5 linked regions of the Cricetulus griseus genome follow. The protein of the gene in region 1 purifies or fractionates together with the protein of each later gene. This does not show direct contact. Links are inferred from orthologs where the notes say so. Each region holds a gene or a part of one and is shown on either strand. Other genes may lie near its edges. The genes, in order: Arhgef12, Vapa, Gipc1, Myo6 and Gna13.

Region 1 (5,893 bases):
GCAACGTCACCAGTTCCAGTTTTAAAAGGCATCTGTCCTTCCTCGGCAGGACAGACCTTAACACTTGAGTCCTGGATGCCACACTCTGCCCGCCCCTCTTCAGAAACTAGCCCGTATCTTGAGAAGGACTGCCAGTCTTCCTGGGTGCTCTTCTCAGGCAGACCCAACTGCTGGACTAGCAGCTGCTTCAACAAGCCCACTAGGAGTCAGGGTGGGGTGAAAAGAACAGAGAAAACTGTCAGCTGGAATCAGACAGCTAGGTTTCCCATCCCTTCTCGCCTAAGAACACATCTTAACAATACACAACCAAAATATTAATCCTACACAATTTTTTTTTTTTTTGCTTGTTTTACTTTTGGTTGTTGGAGACAGGGTTTCTAGCCTTGGCTATCCTGGAACTTTTTCTGCAGACCAGGCTGGCCTCCAACTCACATAGATCTCCTGCCTTTGTCTGGAATTAAAGGTGTGCACCACTACACCCAGCCTACATAATCATTTTTGTCTTGAAAAATGCAATCAAAAATATTATCTTCTACACAACACTTAATATTAAACTACACCTGACCAGAGATAAGCATCCTGAATAGCAAGACACTCTTATGTTAAAGGCCTAAATACTTTGCTAGCTACGCCAGCAAAGCTAAATGTTACGCTTTTTCTTCTCTAGAGTAGATTCTGTACGTCTAGACATTATTTTTTTTAATAATCTTCCTTAATAGTGAAGACAATAAAATTGTATAATAAACTTAAATTCCAATGATTTAGTAGTAGCATATGTAAGTTCAAAGGGAATATTCACTAGTTTTTAAAAATTACCTCACTAGATCCCCTTTCCTTTGCCCTCACAGCCACAGAAGTCAATTGTTCTAAGTACTGGGTGACTCTGTACTTCCTTGGTACATATTCTAACCCTTTTAGCCTTGAGCCTAAAGAACTGTAATAGCTGACTTAGTAAGGGCACTCCAGGCCTCTTTCCATCCAAATTCCTGAGTAGCTCTCAGCCAGATTAGTAAGTTTTTGTCTGTCATACTTAGCTATAAAACCTCACATGGTCCTCTGTAGCTACTATTCTTGAACTTTATCCACCTCACTGTACCTGAGAGATGTGCTATCTTTACATGTGCAATTGTCGTTTCCAACATGGCTGGAGCTAGGGAGGGGCAGCTAACAGAGGCTAGAAGCTATTGTGAAGAACATTAAATCTCCACACAAAACGTAAAACGTGTAATTTGGAAAAGCTCCTAAAATTCTGTGATGTGTCTGTCCGTCAAATATGGAGGATGTAACCTGGTATTTAAAATTCACAACAGTGAGTGAGACTCTTAATCCATCTTCAGGATTCCTAAATCTATCATGTACACTCCTCCAATCTATACTGTGTGCAGACCAGTGGTCCACTCACTGTTCTCTGAGCACCCTGTGCTTCCTGCATGCACTTCTCATCTTTCTATTACTTCTGTCTGAGTGGTTCTATTATTCTACACATTCATTCGGATCTTAATCACCCTTCAGGATGACAAGCACATCTGTCTTTCTCTGCTGCTTCCCTTCTCTGACCACACCAACCTGGACAGATTTGACAAAAAAGCCTTATTACTCCTGGAATGTTTGCTTTGAAAGGTGGCAGGGGGGTGAGGTAAGGTTCTTATCATCTTCCCAACTAGACCATAAATTTCTTGAAGGGAAAAATATCACAGCTCAAACTTTTTCTCATGAAAATCTATTGCTTTTTTCTCTAAAACGCTTTCCAGTAACCACATACTCTGGTACATAGTGTGTGCTACAAGTTAGGAAGAAAACTTACGATTTCTCAGTGCATCCAGTGCCCACCGCTCCTCTGACACAGGCAAGTGTGGATGTGGGACTGGGACTGGGTAACTGCCATCATCTTCCTTCAGTGTCCCATTTGCACACTGCTCCTTTGCAAACTGTGTCGCAGTCACAAAGAGATGCTCTGCCTCTGATTTGCCAGGGGTATTCAGTGAATGAGACTGTGGTTTTGACGAAATTAATGGCGATTCTAATCCCAAAACTCTGTCTGTTCAGAAGAACAGAAAAGGTATAGTCTACCTTAAGGGATATTTCGTTTTCAACATAGAACATTTAGGAAACGATGGGGGTGGGGTTAGCAACATAAGCTACAGAGATCATGTGCCTGGGAAGCCCACAGCACAAAGCAATGCTATACTGCCACACAGAGGGCTCACAGGCAGCATCTGCTAAAGAGTGTGGTTGGTGCCAGCACAGAGCCTATCTATGTCCTCCAGGAAGTCTTGTCTATGCAGCTCACCTGGACTGTGTAGACCAGTGACTGAAAGACCATGGTGCTCCACTTTTAATTTGGATGGTTCTTCTTCGTCATTGTCTCCTCTGTAGAAAACAAACAAACAACCCTCCCCTGAGCTTGGAAAGATGTCCCAACTTCATGGCATTCAAATGAAGAACTATGCATGTCTTCCTGACAGAAGCCCAAGTGCACACTTACTCGCAAGGTGTTGACTGTGGGAGAGGAATTGGCTTTGTGGACTGCTCCTTCACTGATGCAGCCATTCGACAGATGAGGTCCTGCCAGCTTCAGGGATGAAAGGAGTCCAAAATGCAGGAGGAAAGCAGAAACACCCCATAAATACACTCCAGATAAAAAGAGAAAACAAAACCCAAACACCACCATGCTGCCAGAGAACATCTTTATTTTGGCACCACTTCTGTAGAGACTCTAAAATACATTTTAAAGAAAATTCTAACATGAGCACATTACCCATTTAAAAGATTAATTTGGCACTTCTGAGAACTTTTTTTGTAGAAAATTCACTTTAAGTAGAATAAAATAAAAATGAGATCAAGCATCTCAAATGAAGCAAATTCTTAGAGGAATATTCCCAAAAGGGTACAAGAGAAAGTACTTGATTTCTATAGTGGTTTTCAGAATCCTAGTATAAGGTGCAGGCTGGAGAGATGGCTCAGCAGTTAGGGAACCTGCTTGCTCCTCCAGAGGAAGCCATCCACCAGTTTCCAGCACCCTCAGTCAGCTTACAACCACTTGTAACATTAGCTCTAGGGGATCTGACACCCTCTCCTGGCTTCTTCAGGCAACTGTACACATGTGCACACTCACCCACTCACACCCACACACACACTCACACACACAAATAATGAAATAAATCTTAACAAAAAACAAAGTCTGTGGAACATTTATACTTTGAATAACAGAATATCAGTTAGAAAAGGTAATAAAATCTGATACATACACCGTCTTTTCAGAAACTGTCTGTGCTACCAATTCATAAATTTGGGCTCCATTATCTGACATGGAGATGACGAATAAGGCTTTGTTATCTAGAAAAGAAGAAAAGAAAATTTACTTTACCACTATGATCAAGGAAGCCATGAGATATTTCCAGATGCAGATATGAATATTCTGCATCTTAATTTAGATAAATGTTACATATGTCCACTGTGCAAAACTTTATCAAGTTTATAAATTTAAATTTTCTGTAACTCACCACAAGCTACATTATCTGCAACTTAAACGAACTTTATAAAAGTCAACATAGTAATTCATTAGTAACAAAAATAAGTCAAAGTTCATATTACTTGGACTCAGTGAGTTAAAAAAAAAGAAAAAACACATTAAGTTGAGACAGAAAAGTAGGGGAGGGGACAGGGATTGGATTTAACCAAAATTTGACATTATATGCATATATAAAATTCTCAAACAATAAAAAATAATTGGCCTCATAAAAGTTCTGTCTTAATAAAGGTTATGTCCTGCCCAAGTGGAATGTGCTTTGGAGTTCTATCAAGCCTGTAATTCTGAAATTAAAATGCTTATATGAAAAGACACAGACACAGACACACACACACACACACACACACACACACACAGAGTCAAAACACCCATACACACAAAATAATAAAATTAAATAAAACAAACAAATAAATTCACTCACCTCTTCATTTTTCCCAACAAACAAACATACCATTTTAATGACAGCCTTCTCACTGGAGTTACCCTCAAAGTACTCACTACCTTTGCTGGTATCGATCACCAATTTGAACAGAATAAACACAAAAGTAAGTGTATTTAAATTTTCAAATGCAGACAACCACTGAGACAACCTGTCTTACGACAGAACTACTGAAGTCCATTGTGCTGCTTAAGCAACACTTAGTATCCTGTGAATCTAGAAGCTAGCATCCTCAGTAGACACACTCACCTGTTGCCACCTGTCGGACCAACACTGTGCTCAGCTTAATGACTGGACTGAATGTGTGTTTGCTGTCAGCTGTGGATGCCAGAATCTTACTATGGCACCGTAACACCAGTCTGTCATCCTGCTTTTGCAACAGTACAAGAATGTCTTCTAGCAGCAGTGTATAAAGATCTAGAAAAAAAAATGCACACGTCAAGTATTAAGGGTAGAAATTTTAAAATAATGTGAAAAAGGAAATTATTTCTGGAAAACCTAGCTAATCTTAAAAACTGATTTGCAAACTATTTTCTTTTTTTTTTTTTTTAAAGATTTGTTTGTTTGTTATGTATACAGTGTCCTGCCTGTATGTATGCCTGCAGGTCAGAAGAGGGCACCAGATCTGATTACAATGGTTGTGAGCCGCCATGTGGTTGCTGGGAATTGAACTCAGGGCCTCTGGAAGAACAGTCAGTGTTCTTAACTACTAAGCCATCTCTTTAGCCCCCACAACTATCTTCTTTAATTTCATTTTTAATAATTCATTTTAGTATGTTTTGTGGAAATGTCATCTGAGAATTATAAGAATTAAAAAAAATAGTGCTCTCAATGCAAGAACTTAAAAGAAAGATCCATCAGGAGATAAGATGATGGAAATTGAACTGAAGTGAGACAGGTTTCTGCTAAATTCCTAAATGAAATGTTGCATGCTTTACACTTAACAAACACACAAGCAGATCTCCTATAAATGTTCAGATAGTGTGGAACAGCACTGCTAACTGAAAACTGTGAATGATTCTGCTTCCCACCAGTAGATTTTCTTATTCTCTCCATCCTCTCCAAAACTGAAAGGACCACAGACTTACCTATGCTTTTATCTCTATTCACCTTCCAAACCAATGGCCCTTCGTGAATCATCTTTCTTTTTGTTAAATCCAAATTCTGCCAAAGTAAAAAGAACAGTACACAAATTACTTCCAAGACCATTTCATCAATGGGGTTACAGCCAGCATAACTAGTATCTTTTCAAAACAGTTTTAATATGGAAGATATCATTTACATTCAACCATGGTTATGCTACATGTCTTGAAAATGGAACAGTCCATGTTGTAACAGCTTGCACAAAACCTTCTGAAAGAGAAGAATGTTATTGAAAACATTCTCTGCAGACCTTCCTCCAGATGAGTAATAGCTTATGGACGGCATTACAAAGAACCACAACATGCCCTCACTCCTCAGCCACAATAAAGCAGATACAGATGATGTGTGCAAGGCTTCTGAGTTCTAGAATTCTAATACCTAGCACTGAAGCATTTTTCAGCCTCCCAAAAGAAGATTTAAAGGACAGCATCTATTATGAAAATGCCGATTACTGTCTCTGCCAGCAACTTATTTATCAGTAAAAGCTCCATGTTGTAGCATTAGCATCTCAAGGGGAGCTCTCATTCTTTGGCAGGTAAGGGAATACATACAGTAGTGTGTTTTCTGACATAACTATTATAAATGACATAAAGTTTATTTTAAATAGATATCAAATAACTGTAAACTGTCATTTTCTTTTTTTTTAAAGACTTAAGGCTGGGGAATAGTATCATACATCTTTAAAAATCCCAGCTCTTGGGAGGCAGAGACAGGCAGATTTCTGTAAATTCAAGGCCAGCCAAAGCTGACTCAGGAAAAAAAATACTTAATATCCTTCAAAA
Region 2 (5,648 bases), on another chromosome or scaffold:
GCTCTTTGCAGCGGGGGGGGGGGGGGGGGGGGGGGGGGGGGGAGCCTAGGATTCTGAGGCTTGGTGGAGAGCAGTGCAGTCAGGAGATGCAATCTAAGGTTCCATGGATCGACCCTTTGGTCTGAGCATCGATAGATTAGAACTCTCTAGTAGCTGGCTGCTTTGCTTCTCTGATCTTCAGCTTCAAGCCCAGTATCTGTCCCTGGGTTTTTATTATTCATGCTACAAGTTAACTGGTACATAAGTTTTATAAAAGAGTTATCATAGAGTATAACAATACATTATATATAAGCCATTATAATCTGAGAAATTAAAAGGCAACTAACACTTGAGAAGACTTCACTCTTGCATAAAATGTGCAGACTTGTTACTTCACTGAATATTAAGCCTTGCAACCCAATTTCTTTTCCAAGAGAATTAAACTTCTACAAAACCAACACCTATTTTGAGAATACAAATTTACCTGTAATAAACTATACTCAGTTGAAAACGGTATATTTTTCTGATTATAAAATTGTTTGTATCAGTATGAATAAATTACACACACACACACACACACACACTCTTTTGAAATGCAACTGTGTTTCACATGTTAACAGACTAATTTGCAAAAATAAAAGTTTTGATTTTCAAAAACTAAATCCTTCAGTCAGACAGTGATGGTGAACGCCTTTAACCCCAGCACTGGGAGGCAGAGGCATGTGGATCTTCTCTGAGTTCAAGGCCAGCTTGGTCTATAGAGGGAGTTCCAGGATAGACTCCAGAGCTGTCTCAAAATAACAGAAAAGAAACCATGGTAAGAAGGGAGTGAACTGAACAACAGCCAGCTGGCACACACAAGAGTCATCAGAGCTGACTTTCTATAGCACTTTATCTCTTAAAACCAACTGTGGTATTCCAAAATACCTACATTAGCCTGAAATTGTAGCTATTTGTTTCTTAGTCTCAAAACCTTTAAGTTACAAGTAATGAAGTACTGGGAAGAGTTTCACACAAGAGAAAATATAGCATTAAAAAGGCCCATTTCTGAAGAGTAGACTTTCTGGCTCACCCCAAACCTGCCCTGCCCTGCCCTGCCCTGCCCTGCCCTGCCCTGCCCTGCCCACCCCACCCCACCCAGCCCAGCCAGCCCAGCCCAGCCCAGCCCAGCCCAGCCCAGCCCAGCCCAGCCCTAATGACTTGGCAGACACAAACAAGCTATCCGAGCAAGAATCTGTTAACAGTTTTATTTTTTATGTTAAATACCATGGGACAGGATCGTAAGGATGAAAAACTCAGTCAACAAACTGCCTCCTCACAAGGGATAAGAAAAATTCTGCCATGATATTAGCAAAGGGAAAGAGAAAATTTACACAGTAAGAGGCACCAGTTCCCCACAGAAAACCTCTTGGCATTTCCTGAATGAGTGAGATTAGCAATCTAAATAAATCATATTTCAAGAGGTAACAGCAACAGATAAAATTTAAAGGGATTATTAAAATAACATTTACAAGACTGAACAATTCTTGAACTCTTATTAAAACCACAAAGAAAGAACAATTCTTTATTTATGAATCTCATAAAGGACAGAATGTGCAACTGACACCTGCTAGTGATGATCTGGTAATGTACAATTTGTCCAGGGGCCCAACAGTGTGTTTCATTGTGTTTTCTAACCGTAAGAGATCATTAAAGGCAAAGCCTATATGACGCTGTACACACAAAAAATGGTCACCGCGGGCCATACTACCAATGAAATGGTAGGTAAACAAATCTTTTTCTGGTCGAGAGAAAAAAAAGAACTAGCACTCTGCATGCTTCACTCTACAAGATGAATTTCCCTAGAAAGAATCCAATGAAAATGGCTGCGATTACAACCAGAAGAGAAGGAAGAGGACTGGTGACACTCTCCCTGAAGGGTGCAGCTGAGGTGGATCCCGGTTTGTCCGAATGCGCTACCTTTCTAAGTCTTAAGCCTTCATCCTGGGGAAAATACACAAATCACAGTTTTAAACAGGTAACACATGCAGGTGAGTGTCAAAGCTAAAGTTCCTACAGACAGAAAGGAGATCAGCAGATGTGTGTGGCTAGGAATAGGAGCGAGAATTAACTGCAGTCTTCCTTGGGAACCTGTGGAACTGTGAAGAAGTCTACAACTGGACTAAAGTGACAGCTGAAGAACTATAAATCTGCCTAAACAACTACAGTCATGTGATGTAAATTACACCTCAGTAACACTGACTTTTAAAATACAAGTTAAAGAGTATATTCCTATCAAACCATGCAAGCTTACTTCCATTACGTCCTGTGGTATCATAAATTGACTACAGCGGTCAGCCAAAAGCATTACACTCGGCAGGATCACTGACTCACTACAACTTGGAAACCCACATGGCAGACTTATTTTGTAGTAGACAAAATATTAAGGATTTAGAGAAGAGGTGTACTTTAGGGTGAAATACCATTACCATGGAGTTTTAATATGATCACACCAACATCAAGATATGTGTGAAAGGCTACCATGGCACACAGACTGCATTGCAGGGTTCAGGAAGCTCTCAATTAGACTGATAATTGTGCTTTGTGTTAGTAATATCTTACTCCATGTAAAAGAAGGAACTGCTCCCTTCCTACTGAAATGGTTTCATATACATAGACCCAAGGTTAAGTTTCTATAAGTCATTCTTCTACCTTCATTCCAATTAACACATTTTCAAGCAGGAAAACTTACTCTCAGGTGTCGGTTTTCTTCTGACAGCTTCATCATTTCTCCCTGAAGTCTCTTACACTCTTCCATCAGCTTCCTTGTTTCCGTATCATTGAGAGAAACACTATGCGGTTTTGGCAGGGGTCCGTCTTGTTTGGATGCATTCAGTGGAACAGCTTTGCTAGGTTCCATATCATTCTGTATTTCAAAGACATTGGGAATCTTTAACTAAAAACATTTATGGATTTTAACTAATAAAAATCTAAACTCTACATTTTTTCTAAAAATGCTCTAAATGTGACAAGTTTCAACTAATTTCAACTTATTTCAAATAAGGTCATCTGTAGACAATTTTCAATGGAGTATGTCACTACATACCAGTAGTTAGGTAAATCAAAATGAGCAGCCTATTTCATCTACCTCTGTACTCATGGTACTTACCTTAACACAGCACTTAAAAGGTATCATAATACTTGATATTCTACATTCTTTCATCCAGAATCGCAAAAGCTAGAAGAGCCATTTCTCTCTTGTTATTTACCCCTAAACACAGGCTTTGGCCAAGAAGAGTCAGGCTAAGAAAATATGCTAACTCCAGGCAATTGTCAATGGTCTGATTCTGCAATCAAATGAGGTTTTAAGAATTGGAAGGTACAGGGCAGCCTCATGGTCATCCCAATAAACTTTGCAGCTACCTAAGAACATACAGCCAAAACCAATCTAAACCCTAATGTCTACTAATGGAATAAAAGAGCTAAAAGACACAAATATTGAAACAGTAAGCAAGCAAATCACTGCAGTGAGTGGAGGAAGCTATCTGTGGTCTTAAGCACAAATGATCCTTCAAAGAGTAAACTGTCCAATTAGTGTGATTCATTGTGGTATACTATTTAAGAAGTAACTTAAGACAACTTTCAAAACTACAAGGTCTAAATTAATCCTCTGACTAACATTGTTTCTAAGACTGTGGTCCAAACTGTTTCCTTCATCCCAATATCATTTATACCACCCCACACCATAATATCACCAATATAAAGTCACCTTTTTCATTTTAGACTTTTAACTGCTAAAATTTTTTAGAAGACATAGGAGGTTAAGTCAGTAATAGAGCATCTGATAGCAAGCAGGAGACCTTGGGTTTGCTACTGACAGACATAAACACTACAAATAAATACATAAAAAGGGCAAGCTTTATGCAGATATAAACTGCTGATCAAGGCATTTACCAAATTACATTTCACAGCATCACACAGCAGTCATCTGTACCAGGATCAGAGACTGTGCAGAACCACTCTGGTGGCCAATGGGACTACAGTGTTAATGCTGTCAACCAGACAGGTCTAGAATCACCTAGGGCTGCAAAATTCTTTCTTTTCTATACTGGGTTAATCGAGATGGGGCAACAGACCCTAATTGTGAGTGAGTGAGTGAGTGAGTGAGTGAGTGAGTGAGTGAGTGAGTGAGTGGCACCGTCACATGGGCGGGTCCTCAACAGAAAAAAAAAAAGGAAGAGCAATGAGCACCAGCATTCACCGCTGTCTCCTGCCTGCAGACTACCAGCTACTGGTGCTAGACTGCACTGCTCCTCAAACCAAGTCTTCTTCCTGAAGCTGCCCGTGCCAGTACTTTCTGAGGGCAACAAGGGGTTCTAGTGCACAACCCTGACTACCTGACCTGCCCGCACATTTCCCACTTTTCAAGTGTGAAGAGACTTAATTACCTCAATTTGCTCTGAGTTTCTCCTGCTGACATTTGTTCTTTACCGCAATCTCCCTAATGTCCAACCAAGTCCATCTCTAGTATAAAAAGTCTGTACCTGATATATTTTGCTAAAATATTTACTCTATTTTCTTGACAATAATTAAAATTCACTTCAAACTGAGTTTTCATACCCCATCCTGCACAACCCAACCTGAATTTCAAAGGGGAAAGCATGTGCCTCCCTCTGTAAGGCAGGCAGTACTCAACAACAGACGAGTCCTCAAGTGTTGCCTAACAACGAAGACAGTGCTGGGCAGCAGAGCATTTGCCTCACACACATAATGGTCATTGGCTCAACCCCAAGTACAGGAGCAAAAAATGCAGAAGAAAATCATACTGTTGGCCCAGTGTTGACTACAGAATGATATATATGAAGCTAGTAGTGGAGAGAGGGGAATTCTAATGACTTTAAAATAAAAAATTAAAGTCCCAAATAAATGTGGGGTGTAATGCTCACCATTAATCCCAGCAGACAGGGGACTAGGACCATGAAATAAGCCAACCTTAGCACCTCGGGTGAGAATAGGCTACAGTGTCAAGACTGTATGCCATACATTCTCCACCACTGTATTCTTTCTGCCTGTCTGCGGTAGCCCCACACAGAGATTTCCACTGTACTAACTTTGTAGGGGCTATCAGAAAGGAGCTAGGGACTACACATAGAAAGTCAAGGTCAAATCTACAAGCATTTGCAATGCATTCTGTGAAGACAGGAACTAAAGGACATTTTCATCACTGTGTTGAGTAAAGGGTTGTCAATACATAAAGACGGTGTATGGCTATGTTGTCAGAATTAAAGTTTTAATCTGTGAATTGAAGTATCTGAACAACAATGCTCTCTGAATGTTTTTTCTTCCTAATCTAACAGCAAATGCATGGTTTCTCTAGGCCCATGATTACAAAAAAATAATTCCAAATATAAGGCCAAACAGAATTAAAAATTTAGATAAAAGATTTGTTGACAGGTCTCACCATGCAGTCCTAGATAGCCTGGAACTAGCTATACAGACCAGGTTAGCCCTGGACTCACGAGAGTTCTGTGCCTGTCTCTGCCTCCCTAGTGTACATCAACTGCACCAATGCACTCAGCTAATGAAAGGTATTTTTAAAGCCTTATTAGCAGGAGGATGGATCTCTGTGAGTTCGAGGCCAGCCTGGTCTACAAGAGCTAGTTCCAGGACAGTCTCCAAAGCCACAGAGA
Region 3 (6,440 bases), on another chromosome or scaffold:
GAGGATCTGACACCCTCTTCTGCCCTGTGAGCTCAGGCATGCAAGCAGACGAAATACCCAAACACATAAAATAAAAATTAAAAAAAATTACTTTGAGGTTAGGCTAGCCAACATAGCAAGTTCTAGGACAACCAGAACTGCAAAATGAGACCCTGTCTGAAAGGGGAGGGGGACCACATTTATTTATTTGTGTGCATGTGTGTTGCCACAATTTGCATACAGAGGTTGTGGGGGTCAGTTCATTCCTTCTACCATTCAGGTACCAGGAATCAAACTCAGGTTACAGGCTTGGTGGCAGTCTTTACTCCACTGAGCCATCTCTCCAGTGTGCCACCCCTTTTGTGCTGGGAATTGAACTCAGGGCCTCAAATATGCTGGGCAAGGGCTCTACCACTAAGTTATATCCCATACCCCCAGCCCCACTTTGCATGAGCTCTCCAGTTAGGCTAGCCGGCCCCATAGGCCTTCCTGTTTATGTCCCCAGTGCTGGGGTGACAGCTGCAAGCCACCATGCCTAGCATTTTCACATGGGTTCTGACAGTCAAACTCAGCTGGCACAGCAAGCACTTTACCAAGTGCGCCATCTCCATGGTCTACATGGCCCTGCATTGTTTTCTTTTGCTCTGCTTTTTCAAGGAGGGTCTGTCTCCCTGCACAATACAGAATAAGCCTCACACTCAAGATCCTCCTGCCTCTACCTCCCATGTCCTGGGATAACAGGCCTCTTTACACCTGGCTGATTCAGCCTTACTTGGATGGTCTTTTTCTTATTGATTTGTGAGAACTCTTTATATATTCTGGGCACTTGTCTTTTACTGGTTCTTTCATCTGTCTGTCCATAGCTCTGTATCCCAGTATACTACAGACACTCACTGGCTATTTCACAGAAGTAAACTGAAATGAATTACATGGAATTGTATGCCACCACACTCAATAGAGAACAGGAGCAATAGCACCTCCTTGGTACACACTCTTTTGATCACCATTCCTTGTTCTATATTTGTTTTAAGTTTACTCTGTAGTCCCTGGCTGTCCTGGAACTTACTCTGTAGTCCAGGCTGGCCTCAAACTCAGAGATCTGCCTGAATGCTGGGATCAAAGGCGTGTGCCACCACTGCCCAGTTTAGGCCAAATATCTTAACTCGTCTGATCAAAAAGGAAACCATGTATATGCCTGGATTGCTCCTGGAACACTATTGGGGGTGTGTGAGTGCATGTGTGTGCCTGGGACAGTCCCCGCAATACTATTGGGGTGTGTGCTGATACACTGTCTTTCCTCACTGTCCTGCACCGCATACCCTGTTCCCCAGCCTCCTTTCTGTCTCTGTACATATTCACTGCTGTGGTTTAGTCCAGCTTTTGTGTGCCCTCTGGTGAGAGACCCAAGGCACTGAGGAAAATGAGTGACTAATAAACCAATGATGCAGACCCTGAGACACATGGCCTGGATGATGGCCTGGATTCAAGTTCCACCCTTGCTACTCACCAGTGGCACAGACAAAGCCAAGTTGCTTAGCTTCATGAGGCCGCAGTTTTATCTCCTGAGAATCTGGCAGAGTTTATGTCTGTTGGGTACTTACGGAATCTCATCAGAAAGTGTTGGACGTGTTATTATTTGCAGTGATGGAGACAGAAACTAGAATCTTTCATTGCTTGGAAGGCACTCTGCTGCCGACCCACACCTCCCCCACAGGTTCGGGGCAGGGGCTGTACTGCTGACCTGCACCTCCAAACTTCTTCAGTCTTTATTCTGGTCACATCCTTCCTTCCCTGGCCTAGAAGCATCCCAGTTCCTATGCTGGCAAGGCCTATTCCAGACTTCTCCAGGCAGCTGGCTTGCCCAGCCCGCACACAGGAGCTGCACCACAGTACTAGGGTCTATGAACTTGCTGTGTGCTACCCTGACAGAGCTTGTCTCTCAATGTCCCGGCTGCTATTTATCTTGCATCTTCATTTTTAAAATTTATTTTATTTTAATTTTATGTGTATGAGAGCTTTGCTTCATGTCTGCCTGTGCATCACTTGGGTGCCTGAAGAGGTCAAAAGGAACTAGTTAGAGATGGTTGTGACCCACCATGTGGGGGCTGGGAATGGAACTCCCAGCATGCAGTCTGTGAGCTGTCTTTCCAGCCTGTGTCTCTATTTTAAAATGCAAACCATCTCCTATCTCACAAAGGAATCTCACCGTATAGGGGAAAACTCGACAATAAAAAAATGTGTTTTCTGTACCAGGTACTCAATCACATCTATAGCTTCATTCCCTGTTCCAGCTATTCTATACTTCACTCTGCCTTGGGGTGTGTGTGTGTGTGATCTCCCCCTGCCCAGTGATCTCTGAGAGGTCACTCAGCACTTAGAAGGATCTGCAGTGGCTGCCCATGTTAACTTGTTGCCTGTTCCCCACTAGAATGCAGGGAATTCTGTCCTGCATTTGGAGGACACTTCCCTCCAAGCAAAACATGGTGCCTGGCACAGTGGCTGCTTAGCACTTGCAGGTGAACTGTAGAGTGAATGTCCTATAACCCTGCTTGTGAACCAAACCCCACCAACATGACTGCTAGAGAGCTACGAGCTCCTCCCCGCTGTCTGCAAGGAGCTGAAGGGAAGTGGGTTGGATGGATTTCCGGAGTTCAGCGCTCTCATCCCAAGAAGGGCCAGAAACTTAGCAACCCTGCAGTCACAGAAACGCTAAGTGGGAGGTGCAGGAAGCAGGGAGGGGGACTCCTGGGGCTCAGATAACTCCCAGTTTAGGGGACACCACACCTGTCGTCCCTCGCTCCTAACCCCCAGCACAGTACTACTTTGGGGAGGAGGGGAGGAGGCCTCTGATTCATTCTTGAAAAACCGGATCCTAAAGGTTTCATCTCTCCAGTGTTTCCGGGGCGAGTGGACGCACCTCTTGCCCCGCTCCCCCGCCCCGGCCTCTACACTCACTCTCGCTCATTTCTCTTCGCAGTAAGTAGACAGGGTGGGTGGAGGGGGAATGGGATTAAAGGGCCCACGTCAGGCCTTGCCTGGCCAGCTCAAGAGAAGGGACACGAGGGCAACTTGGAAGCTGTTTAGTGACCCGTGGGCTCGGGGAAGCAAAACCCAGCAGGTGCGGCTCCGAAGGGAATATGGGGGCGGCCGTGTGCAGTGAGTCCGGTGGCTGGCTGGTCAGGGACGACTTCTGGGACTAGTTTCTGGACTCAAGGCATGGGTCCCTCATCCCCACCGGCCACTTACTAGCTGTGTGACCTTGAGTGAGTCACTCCACCTCTCTGGCCCTGATCCCTCACTTCTAAAAGAAGTTAACAGCCCCTCCCAGGAGGCTGTTTTGATTCAATGTTGTGCACTGTAAGCGTCTGACGAGGAAGCGCTGGGTCCGGGCTAGCGAGGCGGGGGTGGGGGGTGGTCCGCACTATTACTGCGGTTGTTATTGTCTTCCGGACTCGGCGGCCTCGGTGCCCCCGCGGCCAGCTTTTGGGCAGGGGCCCGGGAGGGGTCGGGACCCATCACCAACAGGGAGCGTCCCGGGAGCAGAGGGCAGGGGCGGACCGGAGGCCCCGGCCGGAGGGGAAGGGTCCGTGTTTGGGGTCCCGACGCGGCCAGCCCCACCCCGCCGCCACGGCTCCACGCCCGGGAGGCCGCCCCTGGCCGGGGAACACTCACCTGCGCCGCAGCCACCCCGCGCGCCCAGTTCGATCCTCTGGAAACTCGGCCCGGCTTCTCCCTCGGCCTCCCGTACCTGGGCGGGGCCGGCGTCCCGAGCGGACCAATCAGCGGCGGCCTCCCATACTGGCGGCCAATGGGTGCCTCCCGTCGGAACGCTCTGAGGGATCCCTCCGCCGCACCTCGGTCTCCCCCCTGTACGCGCAGTGGTCCGACCTTACTCGTTCTAAATGGCGGCGGGCTGAACCATTGAGGGGCTGCGCGGGTGAGAGGACGGGGAGCTGGGCGGGAGCTGGCAGTAAGAGTCAGATGACCGGGTTTGGAGGACTGCGCTCGGCATCCAGGAAAGCGGGCTCGTTGGGAGGTCAGAGAGGCGGCCGAGAGCACACCCTCGCTCAGCTTCCCTCCCAGAAAGATGCTTTGACTCCAGGGGGTGGGCCATAGTGAATAGGGAGGGTCCCGGGTGTCTCTGCTTTTTCCACTCTACACAATAGACAAAGCAACCGTGCATTCATTCAGTCTTTCAATCTTTAAGTGCCCCTGCCTGGTACCAGGCTCGGTCCTGGCTCTACAGACACATGAATGGAGATACAGGGTGTGCAAAGGCTCCGAAGCTGCACAGAGAGCCACAGAGCACTTTGCTAGTAAAGCTGTGTAAGAATACACGATGGAGAATGTTTAAACAGTCGGCTTGTCAGTTCAGTACTGTGCAGAATCATAGATGGTGACCAACCAGTGCAGGTTTCCTCCTCCTCCTCCTCCTCCTCCTCCTCCTCCTCCTCTCCTCCTCCTCCTCTCCTCCCCTCCTCCCCTCCTCCTCCTCCCCTCCTCCTCCTCCTCCGCCGCCTCCTCCTCCTCCACTTCCTCCTCCTCCTTCTCCCCTTCCTCCTCCCTCATAGAAATGTATGATGGGGAAAAGGGTAGATTATTGAATCTCCTTAACCCCCAAACAACTGCTAATCCCAAAATACTTACATTGTTATATATTTTACTTTCTTGATATAAACTTAAGGTTAATTTTGTTATGCTATATTTATATTTCTACTCTTGTTTATGATACTATGTTTATGCAGTTTATAATAGTCAAACTTAATGTTATGTTAGGTTTAGCTAGATATACAGAGATATATTTTTAGATGGGTTGGTAATCTTCAAACACTTCAAAGACCTACAGAATATGACATTTAAAATGTTTTGATAATTTAAAATTCTTTTGACATGAGACACATCTGCTCCTGGCAGCTGATCTACTCCTGAGAGGATGATGGGCACTGAAGTCACTCCATATGGAGTTTGTTTCCCTTTTAGCAAAACTGGCCTATTGGGTAAAGAGCTGCCCTTGCCTGGACTGCTGACAGTAAGTATGCTGTCCAATCCAGACAAACAGGACACAAGAAAAAGTGACTGCTGAACCTTGCCAAGAAAGGTTAGGAGAGTCCTTCAGATTTTCTTGCTTCTGACAATGGAAAATGATATGTCAGATATTCTAGGCCTATAAGCCAAAATTGGATGCCCCAACATCACCAAAAAAAAAAAAAAACCAAAAAACCAAAAAACAAAACCTGAGGTGACTGTCCAGAAAGCCAGCTGTTTCTGTCATTTCCTGTATCTTTAAGAAGTCGCTTGCTTGCCCTTATTCAGGTAATATTATTCCTTCTCAGGTCTTTGATGGAGTTGAAGATAGATAATTATAGTTATAGTTTTTCTTAGTTATAATAATAGATAAATGGCTGGGAGGTAGTGGCACACGCCTTCAGTCCCAGTACTTATGAGGCAGAGGCAAATGGATCTCTGTGAGTTTGAGGCCAGCCTGATCTACAAAGTGAGTTCCAGGACAGGAGCTACTCAGAGAAACCCTGTCCTTTGCTTTTCAGCAATCAAAAAATTCAAAATAAACATAATAGCTAACCACAACATGAATGTTACCTTGGCTTGAAGTTTTTCCTGCTAAGCACATTAGATAATTTCATTTTAATTATGTCTGGGAAAGCACAAAGCAAGGCAAGGCCATATCCAGATTCAGGGTACACCCAGGACAGCTCTCAGCATATCCTTTCACCAGACTGGATTCTATAGCTATGTTCTGACATCCAAGAACAATACAAGGAACAAAATACTTGAGGTAATAAGTCCTCTGCCTTTTCTTCTGGAGCCCAAGGCAATGTCCACCATATGTCATTCTTTGACCATGTTCCCACAGTTGGTTATCCCCACAGCTTCTGTGCCACTGTTGCACCAGCATATCATTCAGGCAGATCACCACTGTAGATCAAAGGGTTTGTAGATGGTTGGTAGTTACCTTTCTTCTCTGGAAGCATGAAGAATACCTTCCACTACATGAACACTAGTCAGTAGGGGTAAAGGATCTAGTTGGTACTGTGTTCAATGAGATATGTAGGTGTTCTCTTCAGCAATAGGGACTTATCATCATTTTGTGGAGAGCATCCAATAGTCTTGCAGTAGCCCGAGTTGTTTGGGGGTTTCCATGGGACCCCTTTGTCCAATGACTCAATTATATATAATCCATTCCTGGCATTGGAGATTTCACTGGTGGTGAAAAATGTCTAGTTGGGGCATTGTCTTCCCCATTGTTTGGTGACTCCATTTTGTTTGTTGTGGGAAAATCTTTTAGTACACTGTAGAGATGTGTCTCTCATAAGGTGTCTTCTGATTGGTTTAATAAAGAGTGGAATGGCCAATAGTTAGGCAGGAAAGAATAGGCAGGACTTCCAGGGAGAGATAGGAATTCAGGACGAATCGAGGAGTGCACAGAAATACCAGCCAGACAC
Region 4 (5,893 bases), about 37 Mb from region 1:
ACTATCTGAGATATGTTCTAGGAGTATTAATTTCATTATTGTCTTAAGCAGCAGAATGTACTGTCTTCTTTTTCCCCTTTCTCTCTTTGACCCCCACATTTGACCTCCTCATTTTCTCCAGTTTTAACTAAAGCTATTCTCCCTCTGCCTAAATGGCATCTACATTAGGTATTCTCAATAGATGATCTGTGTTCTGTCTCTCTGTGCCCCTAGCTTCCCCTCCCCCAGTCTATTTAATTTGAAGTGCTATGTATTGAACTCCGGGCCTTCCAAATGCTAAGCAAGCTACACCCCTGGGTAATGTCTCTCTTTTCTTATTCATGAAATCTCATTAGTTATCAAACTATATGGATTTTTGCCTTTGGATAGTATAACCCATTATTTTCAATGTCAATACCTCAGGGCAACCTCTTTTCATCACTTACACAATAACTTCATTAGCTCCAAAAATTGTTTACTAGCTCCCCACCCCACTTATCTTTTTTAACCCCCAAACTTTCCTAGCCCTCATTCAATAGCTGGCAAAGTTTGAATCCTAGCCATTTTTCCTAGACTGTAGTTGGGGTTTCAGTTCATCTTTGCAGCCTCTCCTGCTCCTCCTCTCTCAGACTCACTCTTCAGTACCCTGGACCAAGCTGAGCTTGAGTGAATTTCTGCCAGGTTGTAGCAGCTACTTACTTCTGGCCTAAAACATGAGTGAGTGGAAATACTTTGGATTACTTGAAGGTCTGTGGTGAAAGTTTAACGTTGGGAGCTGTGTGGGAATCAGTCACCATGCTCCCATACTTACCGGAGTCCTTGAAATAGTGCTGCTTGTGTGGCAGGACTTAGTAGAGAAATCTTCACTAATGGGGGAGTAAAATTTACTTGGTCTAGCACAAAGGAACTAGGCACATTATTATTGAGACCTTTTGTTAGACAATAGTGCATACCCATAAAAAAAAAAAAACAAAACTATGATAAAAAGACACCTTTAATCCCAGCACTCGGGAGGCAGAGGCAGACGGATTTCTGTGAGTTGGAGGCCAACCTGGTCTCCAGAGTGAGTGCCAGGATAGGCTCCAAAGCTACACAGAGAAACCCTGTCTCGAAAAACCAAAAAAAAAAAAAAAAAAAAAAAAAAAAAAAAAGACAACAGAACCTCTTTTCCCATTATTTTCCAAGTAAAATATGAAAGTTTCCCACAGGCTCAGTGCTTTCGGCTTTGTCTATAGTGCATTTCCAGAAGGAAGTAAACTCTGTTTCCTAAACTCATTTGGCAGGTTAACTTTTTAAAGAAAGTTATAATATTTAATAGAACATTTAAGAGAAATATGGCACAGAAAAGTTTGTTAATAGTAGTGTTGCACACTTGAGAATACATTTGAAATAGAGTGCTAGCCACATCCATCTTTTTTTTTTATTATTTTTAAGAAGTTAAAGAAACTTTAGACTTCCTGCCTCTGATCACTGGAATAACATATACATCAAGATTTTATGAGAATTGCTTTGTGGGAATGAATGAGTTTTTAATTTATGTCCTATTTAAACCAATATGTTTCTGTCATTTTATTTCACTCTTACACATAGTGAAAAACAAAATACAATATCGAGCTGAAGCGTGCATTAAAATGCAGAAAACGATTCGAATGTGGCTTTGCAAAAGGAGACACAAACCACGGTAAGATGAACAGTGTCTGAAGATCTATACAAATGGCTTGTTTGTGCTGTGGATTTGGAATCCGCTCATTCGTTACTTAGCTTGCTGTTCTACCACAGGGTTTGAGTGGCTGGCAGACATGTGAACACTTAAAGATTGCAATGAAAGACCGAGAGAGACTGCCATTCTGGTTACTGTATGATTTGAGTTTCTTGATAATGCCAAGTTAGATGCTGTTTTGGAAGACACCCACCAGCCTGGTGGTAATTTCAGGAATGTTCATAAAATAATCTTACTTTGCTGGTGTGTCATTTCACTGAACATATTTCATTTTCATCTTACTTAAAATTTGTATTGCCAGGTTACTTTTTAAACTTTGGAAGTTTGGATAGCTATTGACACCACACCTTTTCAAAGAAATGTTGGATCATTTGAGTTTATAATTTCAATGAATCCTCATTTTTCTGTCTAAATATAGCTGGCCTCCATGTTATTGATGGCCATCAATGCTAATCCTATGTGTATTTGATTCTTTTCATACTTAATGAGAGACCTGAACAGACTACTAAACAATATTGAAGACAGAAGTAGCCTGCCCGTGTAGCCGCAGTGTTCACTGTTTAGCAATGAGAGTCCTCCTAGAACATTAGTTTGTGAGGTAACTAGCTGATGGAGCCTTACTATTGCAGCATTGATGGCCTGGTTAAGGTGGGCACCCTGAAGAAACGACTCGATAAGTTCAATGAAGTAGTAAATGCATTGAAAGATGGGAAGCCAGAGGTGAACAGACAAATCAAAGATCTGGAAATTTCTATTGATGCTTTGATGGCCAAAATTAAGGTGGGTCATTTTCATCTAGCTAACTTGAACTTTTTATATAATTTACTGTTTCTTGTTATTGATATTGAACTTTATGCAGGAAAACACACTTACTTATTCAAGATATGAAACATTAAAAAGTAGATACCCACATTAATTTTTTCTCAATATGTAAAAAATTTTGTATTAAAAAGATAATCTTTATGTGATTTTTTGTTTGTTTGTTTGTTTTTGAGACAGGGTTTCTCTGTGGCTTTGGAGCCTGTCCTGGAACTAGCTCTTGTAGACAAGGCTGGTCTCGAACTCACAGAGATCCGCCTGCCTCTGCCTCCCGAGTGCTGGGATTAAAGGCGTGTGCGCCACCAACACCCGGCTATATGTGATTTTTTTTGTCTGTTGTTAGGCAAAATATTACCCTGTAGAGAGTAACTAAAATACTAAAACTTTGTTGTTAAGCTTTTACAGTCATTATCCAGGGAGGGTTAATGTAAATTAATTCCTTTTATGCTTTTCTACTTTCCAAAACAAATTTTTTTCTATTGTATTTATTTTTCTTTCTGGAGGTGCTGGGTCTTGAGCAAAGTTCATTGAGCATGCCCTTCTACAGAGCTACGTCCTCAGGTCCCGGAAATGAAACTACTAAATTATAAAAGTAATGTGTCAGTGTTGAAAATGGAGCGAAAGTCATCCAACACTCTTTTGTAGCAGCACACTAAGCGTTCAGATAATATGTGTTACCGTTTCCTTTATAATCATACTTTGGACGCATACATTTTTACATAGTTCTCCATCATAATTATGTGTGTCACTTTGTACCTCTGCTGTTAGGATACATGATTTGTTGTGGTTAACACATGACCTTCATAATTTACTTAGCTATTTTAAAAGTAGCACTTAGCTTTCTTCATTTTTAAAGGAGAAAGTGGAGCAATTTTAGGTTTGATTTTTCAATTGCTTGAATATCAATGTGACTAAAAATATTTTCTATAATGCTTGTTACCACATTTCATCTTTATTTCAATTTCCTCAATTATATGTTAGGGTGTTTTACAGGTTTTCTCAAGTAGCACTCAGAAGTCAATGCACTTAAATTAAGCCTTTTGTAGTTCCTGTTGACAGGTTAAATATTAGAGGTAGAAAGAAAAAAATAATGAAGAAAAGGAAGAAAATGCTACAAGTAGATTTTGATTTTACAGATCAAAGGTGAGACTGGCTTCAATCAGAATTAACCCAGGAAAATCATCCAACAGGTTTAGTTGTAATTTCCCAACATTCCTTAGGTACTAATTGAATGGTGTAAGTAAAGAAAGCAAACTGGCTAAAGGAGATAGTCATTCCTTAAAAATATTTTAAAGCTACATTTATACAGCTTTTCTCACAGCCTGCTACTGATATTGATGGCTTGTTTGAGAGGACCTAGACTCAAGTATTTATGTGTGGAGAAGATTTTCAAGGAATATGTGACTAGCTGGACACGATGGTATACACCTATAATCCTAGTGTTTGTGAGGCTCCTGAGCTCCATAGCTAGTTCAAGGATACCCTGGGCTACGGGAAACTGTTTTAAAAAAAAAAAAAAATCTTTTTTTTTTTTTTTTTTTTTTTTTTTTTTTTGAGATAGGGTTTCTCTGTGTAGCTTTGGAGCCTATCCTGGCACTCGCTCTGGAGACCAGGCTGGCCTCGAACTCAGAGAGATCCGCTTGCCTCTGCCTCCCGAGTGCTGGGATTAAAGGCATGCGCCACCAACGCCGGCAAAAAAAAAAGATATTAACATAGTTTTGTTGATCAGTTTTGCCAGCTATTTATATATATCTTAGAGGTTTTTATTATTTATTTTATTTTATTTATTTATTTATTTATTTTTTTTGTGAAAACCCCAAACCATTGAACTTATCATTGTGTCCGTTTTAAAGCGTACAGTTCGGTGGTTTAAGCATATCCACATTGTGCAGAGGAGGTGATTCTTAAGGACATGTTTGTTCTTTGGTTTTTTAAGTCCACCATGATGACAAGGGAACAAATACAGAAAGAGTATGATGCGCTAGTTAAAAGCTCGGAAGATCTCCTCAGTGCACTGCAGAAAAAGAAACAGCAAGAAGAGGAGGCAGAGAGGCTGAGGCGCATTCAAGAGGAGATGGAGAAAGAAAGGAAGAGGCGCGAAGAGGACGAGCAAAGGCGGCGGAAGGAGGAGGAGGAGAGGCGGATGTAAGCCATTTGCAGAGTTCTGACTAGGAGCCTAAGGCTGATAGATGATGGCTGTTCTCAAGCTATGTCCTACTCATATCAGATGATTACCAGCTATGTATTTAATTATCTATCTATATATTTGTTTATTTCTTCATTTATTTATTTATTGTGACAGGGATTCAGAGCTGGTCTGGAACTCCCATCCTCCTGCCACAGCCTTCTGAGTGCGCATTATACTCACATACCAACACGCCTGGTACAAATCAAACAATTTTAGAATGAGTTTGCAAAAAAATTTAATGCTCATTTTATATAGTTACATGAATTTGTTAACTACAGGTTGGGTGTTCCTAATCTGTAACTCTAAAAACTAAGAAGAAAATTTGAAGTCTGAAATTTTTTTATTACGTGTGAGCTTTGTGTGTGTGTGTGTGTGTGTGTGTGTGTGTGTGTGTGTGTGTGTGTGTTCTTTGCCATGGTATGCTTATGGAAATCAGAGAACAGCTTGTGGAGTTGGTTCACTCCTTCATCACATGGGTTTTGGGATTGATAGTATCAGTCTTGGTGGCAAGTGCCTTTATCTGTTGGCCCTAAAGTCTGAAACTTTTTGCGTGAGTGGTATCACAAAAACTTAATTTAATACAATCTAGCTGTATTTTATTCTTTGGCTTCTGGAGACAGGGTCAATTAGCTCTGGCTGACTTCCATTTTTGCTATATAAACCAGGCTGTCCTCAAACTTGTAGCCCTCCTCTTGCCACTGCTTCTTGGTGCTGTGTTTACAGGCATGAGCCACCCTGCCCAGAAAATTTTGTTTTGTAACGTATTAACCATACATATTAATGGGATTCATGTGATGCTAAGATGCATGTGTAGTGTACATTTGACACACCCACCCACCCTTTTCTCCTTCTCCCCATCTCTTCACCTGGCAAGCTCTCTTCAGCATCTCTGGAAATCACTATTCTACTTTTGGATAGAGTTCTCTCTTTTCCTTAAGTTTCCCCATAGGAGAGAACACACGGTTCCTGTGTTTCTTCTAAGTCTGGCTTATTTCCACTTCCACCCATCTTGCTGCAGATGGCAGGATCTCATTCTTCACCCCCTGCTGTGCTCCTGGACTGATTCTACACCCTAGTTATTGTGAATACATGGGCATGCAGTTCACCCTTTCATACACCAACTTTATTTCCTTGGGCTGTGAACTCATCATTACCCAGTTAATATCTGGAAATGCTTTACGTTATGG
Region 5 (6,375 bases), on another chromosome or scaffold:
GAACAGTCTAGACTGTTACTGACCATAGACTGTACCAAGGAAGACGGGGGTGGGATGGGGGGGGTGGGGGGTGGGGTGGGGTGAGTTGTACATCCTTGTCTAGACACGCCCATGAGGACCACCTGAACAATTTCCTAAGCAGTTTTACTTTTAACTGTCACTTTAATTATATTACAGGAAAGCACACTGGCTACATTGCTACTGCTGATAGATCCTTTCTGGAATTTGGCAAATACAATCAAAGTGCTCACAATTAAATTATAAAATGTTTGGTTAAAAATGCTATCTCAATTCTTGGTTTTGTATTTTTTTTTTTTTTTTTTTTTAAGTCGGAGCCTTGCTGTGTCACCCAGGCCTGGAACTTGTGATTCTTCTGCTTCTGGCTTACAAGGAGCTTAGGGTATAGGCATGAGCCCCAAGCCCCACACATGTTATAACTCTACCTTGGATTAGATCCTTTTTTCCTACCCTTCAACAGTACCTAAGAGCTATGGAGTACTTTATAATCTCTTTTAGGATAAAGGAGGCAAAACAAATGGAAATTGTTTCCCATGTGAAACAAGAACACAAAAACAGTATTTCATTTCTTATAAAATATTTTACAGAGTAGTCTCTCAGCTGGGCATGGGGACTCGAGCCTATAATCCTAGCACTTAGGAGACAGAGAAATGAGGGTCACTGCAAGTTTAAGGCCAGCCTGGTCTACAAAGTAAGGAGAAAAAAAGGGTCTAATCTCTCCCTATCAAACTCATCTCTGTCATAAAATAAGTGCTTCAGAGGCTAACTAGCACATGTGAACAACCAGACTCACTCACTGGACTTATCCTTAAAAGAAAGAGGTCATCAGAAAGTCATTATGACATTACTTTCTAACCACTGAAATAGCTTCATTAAATCTATAGGGTTGACCTTTGCTTAGTGAAAGGGACACACAGCAAACCAAGTATTGAAGGCTACATTTTTGAATGAACAGATTACACCATGGAAGTTTGGAGTGGAGTGGAAATGGAGTGGGCTAAACCAGACATTACTAAAAGTCGTTTAACAAAGTATCCTTCAGAGCTAGGGTGGCTCAGCAGGTAAAGGCACTTGCCACCAAGCCTGAGGACCTGAGTTTTATGCCCATAACCCACATGCTAGAGGAGAACCAATACCCGCAGGTGGTCCTCTGACATCCACATATATGCTATGGCATGCAGATGCCCCCCAAACACATATAAGTAAAAACACACCAAAGGAACAAAAATAATAAATTAAACATTTTAGAGAAGTGAATGTCTTACCAGTTGGAATTCCCGGCGCCGGTCGTAGGCATTCTGTATACCACTGTCATCCCACAAGGCTTTTATAGCAGGAAGATACTGCAAAAAAACTCGAGTCTCCACCATCCCCTGGGCAGCCATGGGGGCACGGGTATCAAATGCCATCAACTTGTCACCATGGAGCTGGTTTTTGTTATCTCCCCAGGGAATATGAAGCTTCTCTCGGGCATCTACCAGCACCCTCATACCTTTGTTTAAAAAGGAAAAAAAAAAAAATGTGAGGAAGAGTCATTAAGATACCATCACAACCTTTCACCCCAGTGTTATTCAGTATTGGTTCCTTAATTTTTTTTAGCTATTACAGAACCCCCACTCCCTAAATGGAGACCAGAATCAAAACAGAACCTTTATCTTCTCAGAGGTTTAAAAAACAATTGTTCATTGTCTTAAAAGTAGAAGCCTTGGAAAGTAAATATCGATAACAAAAATCTCTCTTGGAAGGATTTTAATATGCTGTCATCCATAAAATCATGTCTGAAGTGGAAGGAGGTCAAAACCAGAAATGGAAAAAATAAATAATGCTGCCCAGCCCTGAGTCACTGTGTTCAGTCAGAGTCCTTCAGCTCCTACCAATACTTTCTTCCAGGACACTCTCAGACTCAGTTTCAAATCAGTACAGTCACCTGCTGGCTTTACAGTTACCTAAAAGCCAAACCAACTGCAAAATGATACACAAACAGAGGTCTCCACTTACTTAGGTCAATTCAAACTCAATACTCTTAGCACCAAACTGTTACTTCTGTCTCAATCTATTAGGAAGTCCTTTCTTGGGATACATGAAAAAACTGTTTTGCTTTCAACTTTCTGATCACCCCAAGAAAATAAGATGCCTAGTTAGACTTAGGCTTGATCACACAATAATGCTCAAAGTAATTCTTAGGCCCAGTATATATCAAAAAAGCAGGTGTTTACCTTACAGTGAATACTTTAGTCTATTCATTAACATAATTCTTTAAGTTCAACTGCATCAGGATACAAAGGTACCTTCAATTATGGGCTAGCAAGGTACACTACAGCCTTAGAAGAGACCTTAATTAGTTTTGTGCTAAACATTAGGGCAGACTAAATACAAGCACTCTTTACAGTTTAACTGCAGAGGTACAGGCTAAGAAAGAGCCGTGGACTGTGAGCTCTTGGCCTAGCCTTCTCCCCTCATTGCCCTACAATGCCTCCCTCTCTAGTTTTTCCCCATTTGAAATCCTGAAGAGGCGGGAGGAGAGACATGAAGGGGTTTGCTTCATGTACTTCCTGAACAACAACAAAAAACCCACTTAAAAAAAAATAAAGCCACATAACAACTGAAAAGATCTACGATCGTAGTTTGCTTCGAAGTCCCAGATAAAACAGGGTGACTCCTTAATCACTCAAAACATAGGGCTCTGTGCCTCAGTTTTGACAATGTCTTTTATGTAGAAGATACATAACACTAAAGAAAAATTTTTAAGAAAGGTGATATTTCAAATGACAAGAGCCACCTCCAAAACTTCCTTGAATGCTAGGAAATAAAGATGTCGTGTGTTTTTCACTGAGGAACAATATTTTAATTTTAAAATATTGTCAAACAGAATTTGTAACGCCCATGATCCAACACCACACATATTCACTAACTTCTGTAGGTCTCTTATGACTTTTAAGCCAAAGAGTCTTCGTAGTTAAACATACATTCATTTAAGTATTAGAAATGTTGCCCGTTTTATTCCCCCTCCTGCTCCGAGTTATTAAGCAAAAGAGAAAGAAAGCAACATGTTGAACTGTTGAGTACAAACATCCTGTAGCACTGGGGCGATAAAACCACTTGTGCTAGGTTTTTTTTTTTTTTTTTTTTTTTTTTTTTTTTTTTTTTTAATAGGCTCTCCTGATGCTAGTTCAGTAAACTCGACACCCTTGAGTTTCATACCTCTTGCCCCAAAAGGCCCCAGAGGCTGTCACTCTATGCCCTTGACAAGAGTCTCAGGGCAAAAAAAAAAAAAAAAAAAAAAAAAGTTTCCTCATTGCGGCGGTTCCAGAACTTGCTTAACTCAAGAGGTGGCCTAGGAAGCCCAGAGCTGGAAGGGTATCTGCGCCGGTTTCTAGGGTCACCCACCCACCCACCCGTGGCGGGGAGAAGAGGGAGGGGTTGAGAGTGTGGGACCTGGGGCTGCTGATGGGGTGGGCTTGTCTGGTGTGCTGGGAGGACACCAGTCGCCCTGCTGCCCGGAGTCACCCTGCTCGCCACACTTCCCTCTCGGAGGGGGCGAGGCCAGCCGAGGGGTGCGGGGCCGACCGTGACCCTCACTGGGGTAGCACGGGGGGACAGCGGGGCGCCCCGGATCTGAGGGGCCAGGGCACAGCGGCGCACGGGACGGCGCCCGAGGCGCGCCCACCCGCTCGCTCGCTCGCTCGCGGGCTCGCCCGTCCGATCTGGTCCGATCCAGTGTCCTCAGACTTGGGACCGGCGGGTGAGGGCGGTGCCCGGCCCGGCTCCCCAGGGGTCCCCGGGTCCCCGAGCCCCGCCGCGCCCCCGCACCTTTGATCACGTTGCTGTAGATGGTGGGGCGGAACTCCTCGCGCGCGCGCTGGTCGAAGTCCTGGCCGTGGATGATCCGCATCTGCTTCAGGAAGGTGGACTTGCCGCTCTCGCCCGCACCCAGCAGCAGGATCTTCACCAGCCGCTTCACGTAGGTCTTCTCCCGCGACAGGCATTTGTCGATCTCCTTGGACTTGCGCTGCTGCTCGGCCTCGCCGTTCGTCAACACGCAGCCCGGGAAGCACACGGACAGCACGGAGCGCGACGGCAGGAAGTCCGCCATCTTGCCGCCGCCGCCGCCGCCTCGGCGGGCCCCTGCGGCTCCTCCACCTCCTCCTCCGGCAGCGGCTGGCTCCGGCAAGGCGGCTGGAGGGCGGGGAGCGCAGCGGCGGCCCGAGCGCGCCCGGGGAGGGAGGGAACCCGAGGACTGACTCGCCAGGGCGGGCCGCGCCGGCCGGGGGAGGGTGGGAGGGGTGGGAGGGAGGGCGGGCCCAGGGAGGGGCGGTGGCCCTCCGGGCGTGCACGCCCCCGTCGCCCGACGGGCACGCGCACGCAGGCACGCCGCGCTGGGGAGGCCGGCGCGAGTCCCGCTCCGCCCCCCCACCGCTCGCTGGCCGAGGAGGCTGCGGCCGGGAGCGCGCGCGGTGAGAGGCGGAGCCCCCCGCGAGTCACGCGGGCCGGGCTGGGCGCGCGCCTGCCGGGCCGGACTTTCTGTTTCCCTTTAGTGCCGTCGCTTCCCGGAGCCCCGAGGCGAGTGAGCCCATCCCGATGCCACTCTCTTAGGGACTCCTTCTCTCTGCAGTTCTCACTGCCCTTTCCCCTAGTGACTCGCCCGCCGCCTGCTGTCACCTCCTATTTTGAGATCATTGGCTGGGACATTACCGCACAGACCACCGCAAGCCTGGAAGGTTCCTGGGTGCCTCCTCCTTCCTTCATCACATTTTGTCCCCCCACTCCACCACCCCCCCCTTATTTTAACTCTTGAGATAGGATTTCATCGTACAGCAAAAGCTGGCTTAAATTTGTGGCAATCCTCCTGCCTCAGCCTACCTCTCCACTGCTGGGATTACAGGCAAGCGCTTTAATCCAAGCCCACGCATTTAATTAGCAGCGACTCCCTTGCCATTCTACCATCCTGAGTCTAGAAGGATATCTAGATGTCAAATGTCTTATTGATCAACACCCCTCTGGAGCAGTTCAGGGCATTATTGATACCTGCCCTGGTTTGAGAAGAGTTAGAGTTGATGCTGTTCATGTGAGATGTGCTAGCAAGGTCTCTGGTGGCTGGCTCGCTAATGTGGATCCCACCCGAGCTTCATTTGTGACTTGGGTAATGCCTGCTGAGGTCAGTGAATGGTGGAGAGGGTGAGGTCATGGTGAAAATCCCCCTAAACCGGACACTGTGATGCGCGTTCTTCCCAAGGAAGCAGATAAGCCTACAGCATAGGACTGCGGCAGGACATTTTAGGTTTCCTGCCAGATTACAGAGGATATGACTGGCAAGAGACTTTTTTTTTTTCCTGTCATAACAGCAGATCAGGCCAGGACACCTGAAAAGACTCCTGATGACACACGTGACAAATGACAGCTGGGTTGCCTGTGTGAGTGTGTAGCAAGGACCTCAGAAGCCAACTTCTTCATTCTTTGTCAGTTTCAAAGGGGAAAGGCGGTTGATGCCTGTCTGGTTTTGTCTCAATATTTTTTGCTGCTGGTTTTGGGCTCGTGCAACTGGAGAACTTCCTGTGTGTTAAGGATCCAGGGGTAAGAGGTCAGCACAGTGAGAGGCCAGTGCACAAGTTTAAATCTAAAAACCAGCACTAAGTCAATCAGTTACTGTCATTTGGATTGGTGACTGAGAAGCCCGTGACTCAGTACACTGGCTGCAATAAACAATACCTGGAGTGGAATTATTTCCTATTACACCCACCAAAACTTTAGAGTGGACCTGAGCCTGCAGAGTAGACCATCTGCAAAGTGGGCTCAGTTCACAGCCAACATCCATGGATGTAGGGTCAGGCCTAATGTAAGACAAAAGCCTGCTGGGAGTGAATGGACAGCCTCTAGATAGCTTTGACCACTCCCTGTTAGGAGTGCCCTGTTCTAGAGCCAGGAAGAAAATAGCTTCCACCCAGGACAGGCAGGTAGTACAAAGCCCCTGAGTTACTGCCAGTTTCTAAGATGAACTCCTTAGCAAAAACAGAGGAGGGAAGTGCCTACGTTAGATTAACTACCTACATTTTCCTGAGGTGTGCACAACATAATGGAAAAGCAAGGATGCCTAGGAGGCAGGAAGGGATTCCTGCCCTGCCAGTTCTTGTTGGGACATGTAGTGCAGCAGAGAGGCTGTTCAAAGTCCTGAATGGAAGGAACCTTTCCTTGGAACGAATTTGGCTTGGGGTGAGCCTGGCTGCTCTAATCAGGGTTTCTGGAAAGAAACCTTTAAAGGCCCACCTGGGGTTTGGCTGCTGCTCTTAACTGGTAATCAAGACCCTTTGTAAGCATGAAAAAGTGAGTCCGTTGAGTGGTTCTTCGAAAGTTAAACGTAGA

The links.
Region 2: the proteins of Arhgef12 (region 1) and Vapa purify together in Homo sapiens (affinity purification with mass spectrometry; 5 studies listed by BioGRID and IntAct, counting the BioPlex papers as one, with this or other methods). This does not show direct contact. The link is inferred for Cricetulus griseus from reciprocal best matches to the Homo sapiens genes ARHGEF12 and VAPA.
Region 3: the proteins of Arhgef12 (region 1) and Gipc1 purify together in Homo sapiens (co-immunoprecipitation; 4 studies listed by BioGRID and IntAct, with this or other methods). This does not show direct contact. The link is inferred for Cricetulus griseus from reciprocal best matches to the Homo sapiens genes ARHGEF12 and GIPC1.
Region 4: the proteins of Arhgef12 (region 1) and Myo6 purify together in Homo sapiens (affinity purification with mass spectrometry; 4 studies listed by BioGRID and IntAct, counting the BioPlex papers as one, with this or other methods). This does not show direct contact. The link is inferred for Cricetulus griseus from reciprocal best matches to the Homo sapiens genes ARHGEF12 and MYO6.
Region 5: the proteins of Arhgef12 (region 1) and Gna13 purify together in Homo sapiens (affinity purification with western blotting; 3 studies listed by BioGRID). This does not show direct contact. The link is inferred for Cricetulus griseus from reciprocal best matches to the Homo sapiens genes ARHGEF12 and GNA13.

The regions. Positions count from the first base shown.
Region 1 is NC_048597.1:154,669,112-154,675,004, forward strand, and holds part of Arhgef12 (rho guanine nucleotide exchange factor 12), read right to left. Parts: intron 5,133-5,893; coding exon 5,057-5,132; intron 4,386-5,056; coding exon 4,218-4,385; intron 3,337-4,217; coding exon 3,249-3,336; intron 2,573-3,248; coding exon 2,486-2,572; intron 2,371-2,485; coding exon 2,291-2,370; intron 2,039-2,290; coding exon 1,805-2,038; intron 200-1,804; coding exon 1-199. UniProt on the Homo sapiens protein: May play a role in the regulation of RhoA GTPase by guanine nucleotide-binding alpha-12 (GNA12) and alpha-13 (GNA13). Acts as guanine nucleotide exchange factor (GEF) for RhoA GTPase and may act as GTPase-activating protein (GAP) for GNA12 and GNA13.
Region 2 is NC_048595.1:454,535,666-454,541,313, forward strand, and holds the end of Vapa (vesicle-associated membrane protein-associated protein A), read right to left. Parts: intron 2,885-5,648; coding exon 2,711-2,884; intron 1,963-2,710; coding exon 1,804-1,962; 3' UTR 1,201-1,803; downstream 1-1,200. UniProt on the Homo sapiens protein: Endoplasmic reticulum (ER)-anchored protein that mediates the formation of contact sites between the ER and endosomes via interaction with FFAT motif-containing proteins such as STARD3 or WDR44.
Region 3 is NC_048596.1:160,760,570-160,767,009, forward strand, and holds the start of Gipc1 (PDZ domain-containing protein GIPC1), read right to left. Parts: upstream 3,778-6,440; 5' UTR 3,652-3,777; intron 1-3,651. UniProt on the Homo sapiens protein: May be involved in G protein-linked signaling.
Region 4 is NC_048597.1:191,194,259-191,200,151, forward strand, and holds part of Myo6 (unconventional myosin-VI), read left to right. Parts: intron 1-1,569; coding exon 1,570-1,660; intron 1,661-2,328; coding exon 2,329-2,479; intron 2,480-4,454; coding exon 4,455-4,663; intron 4,664-5,893. UniProt on the Homo sapiens protein: Myosins are actin-based motor molecules with ATPase activity. Unconventional myosins serve in intracellular movements. Myosin 6 is a reverse-direction motor protein that moves towards the minus-end of actin filaments.
Region 5 is NC_048600.1:122,210,474-122,216,848, reverse strand, and holds the start of Gna13 (guanine nucleotide-binding protein subunit alpha-13), read right to left. Parts: upstream 4,112-6,375; coding exon 3,829-4,111; intron 1,511-3,828; coding exon 1,284-1,510; intron 1-1,283. UniProt on the Homo sapiens protein: Guanine nucleotide-binding proteins (G proteins) are involved as modulators or transducers in various transmembrane signaling systems.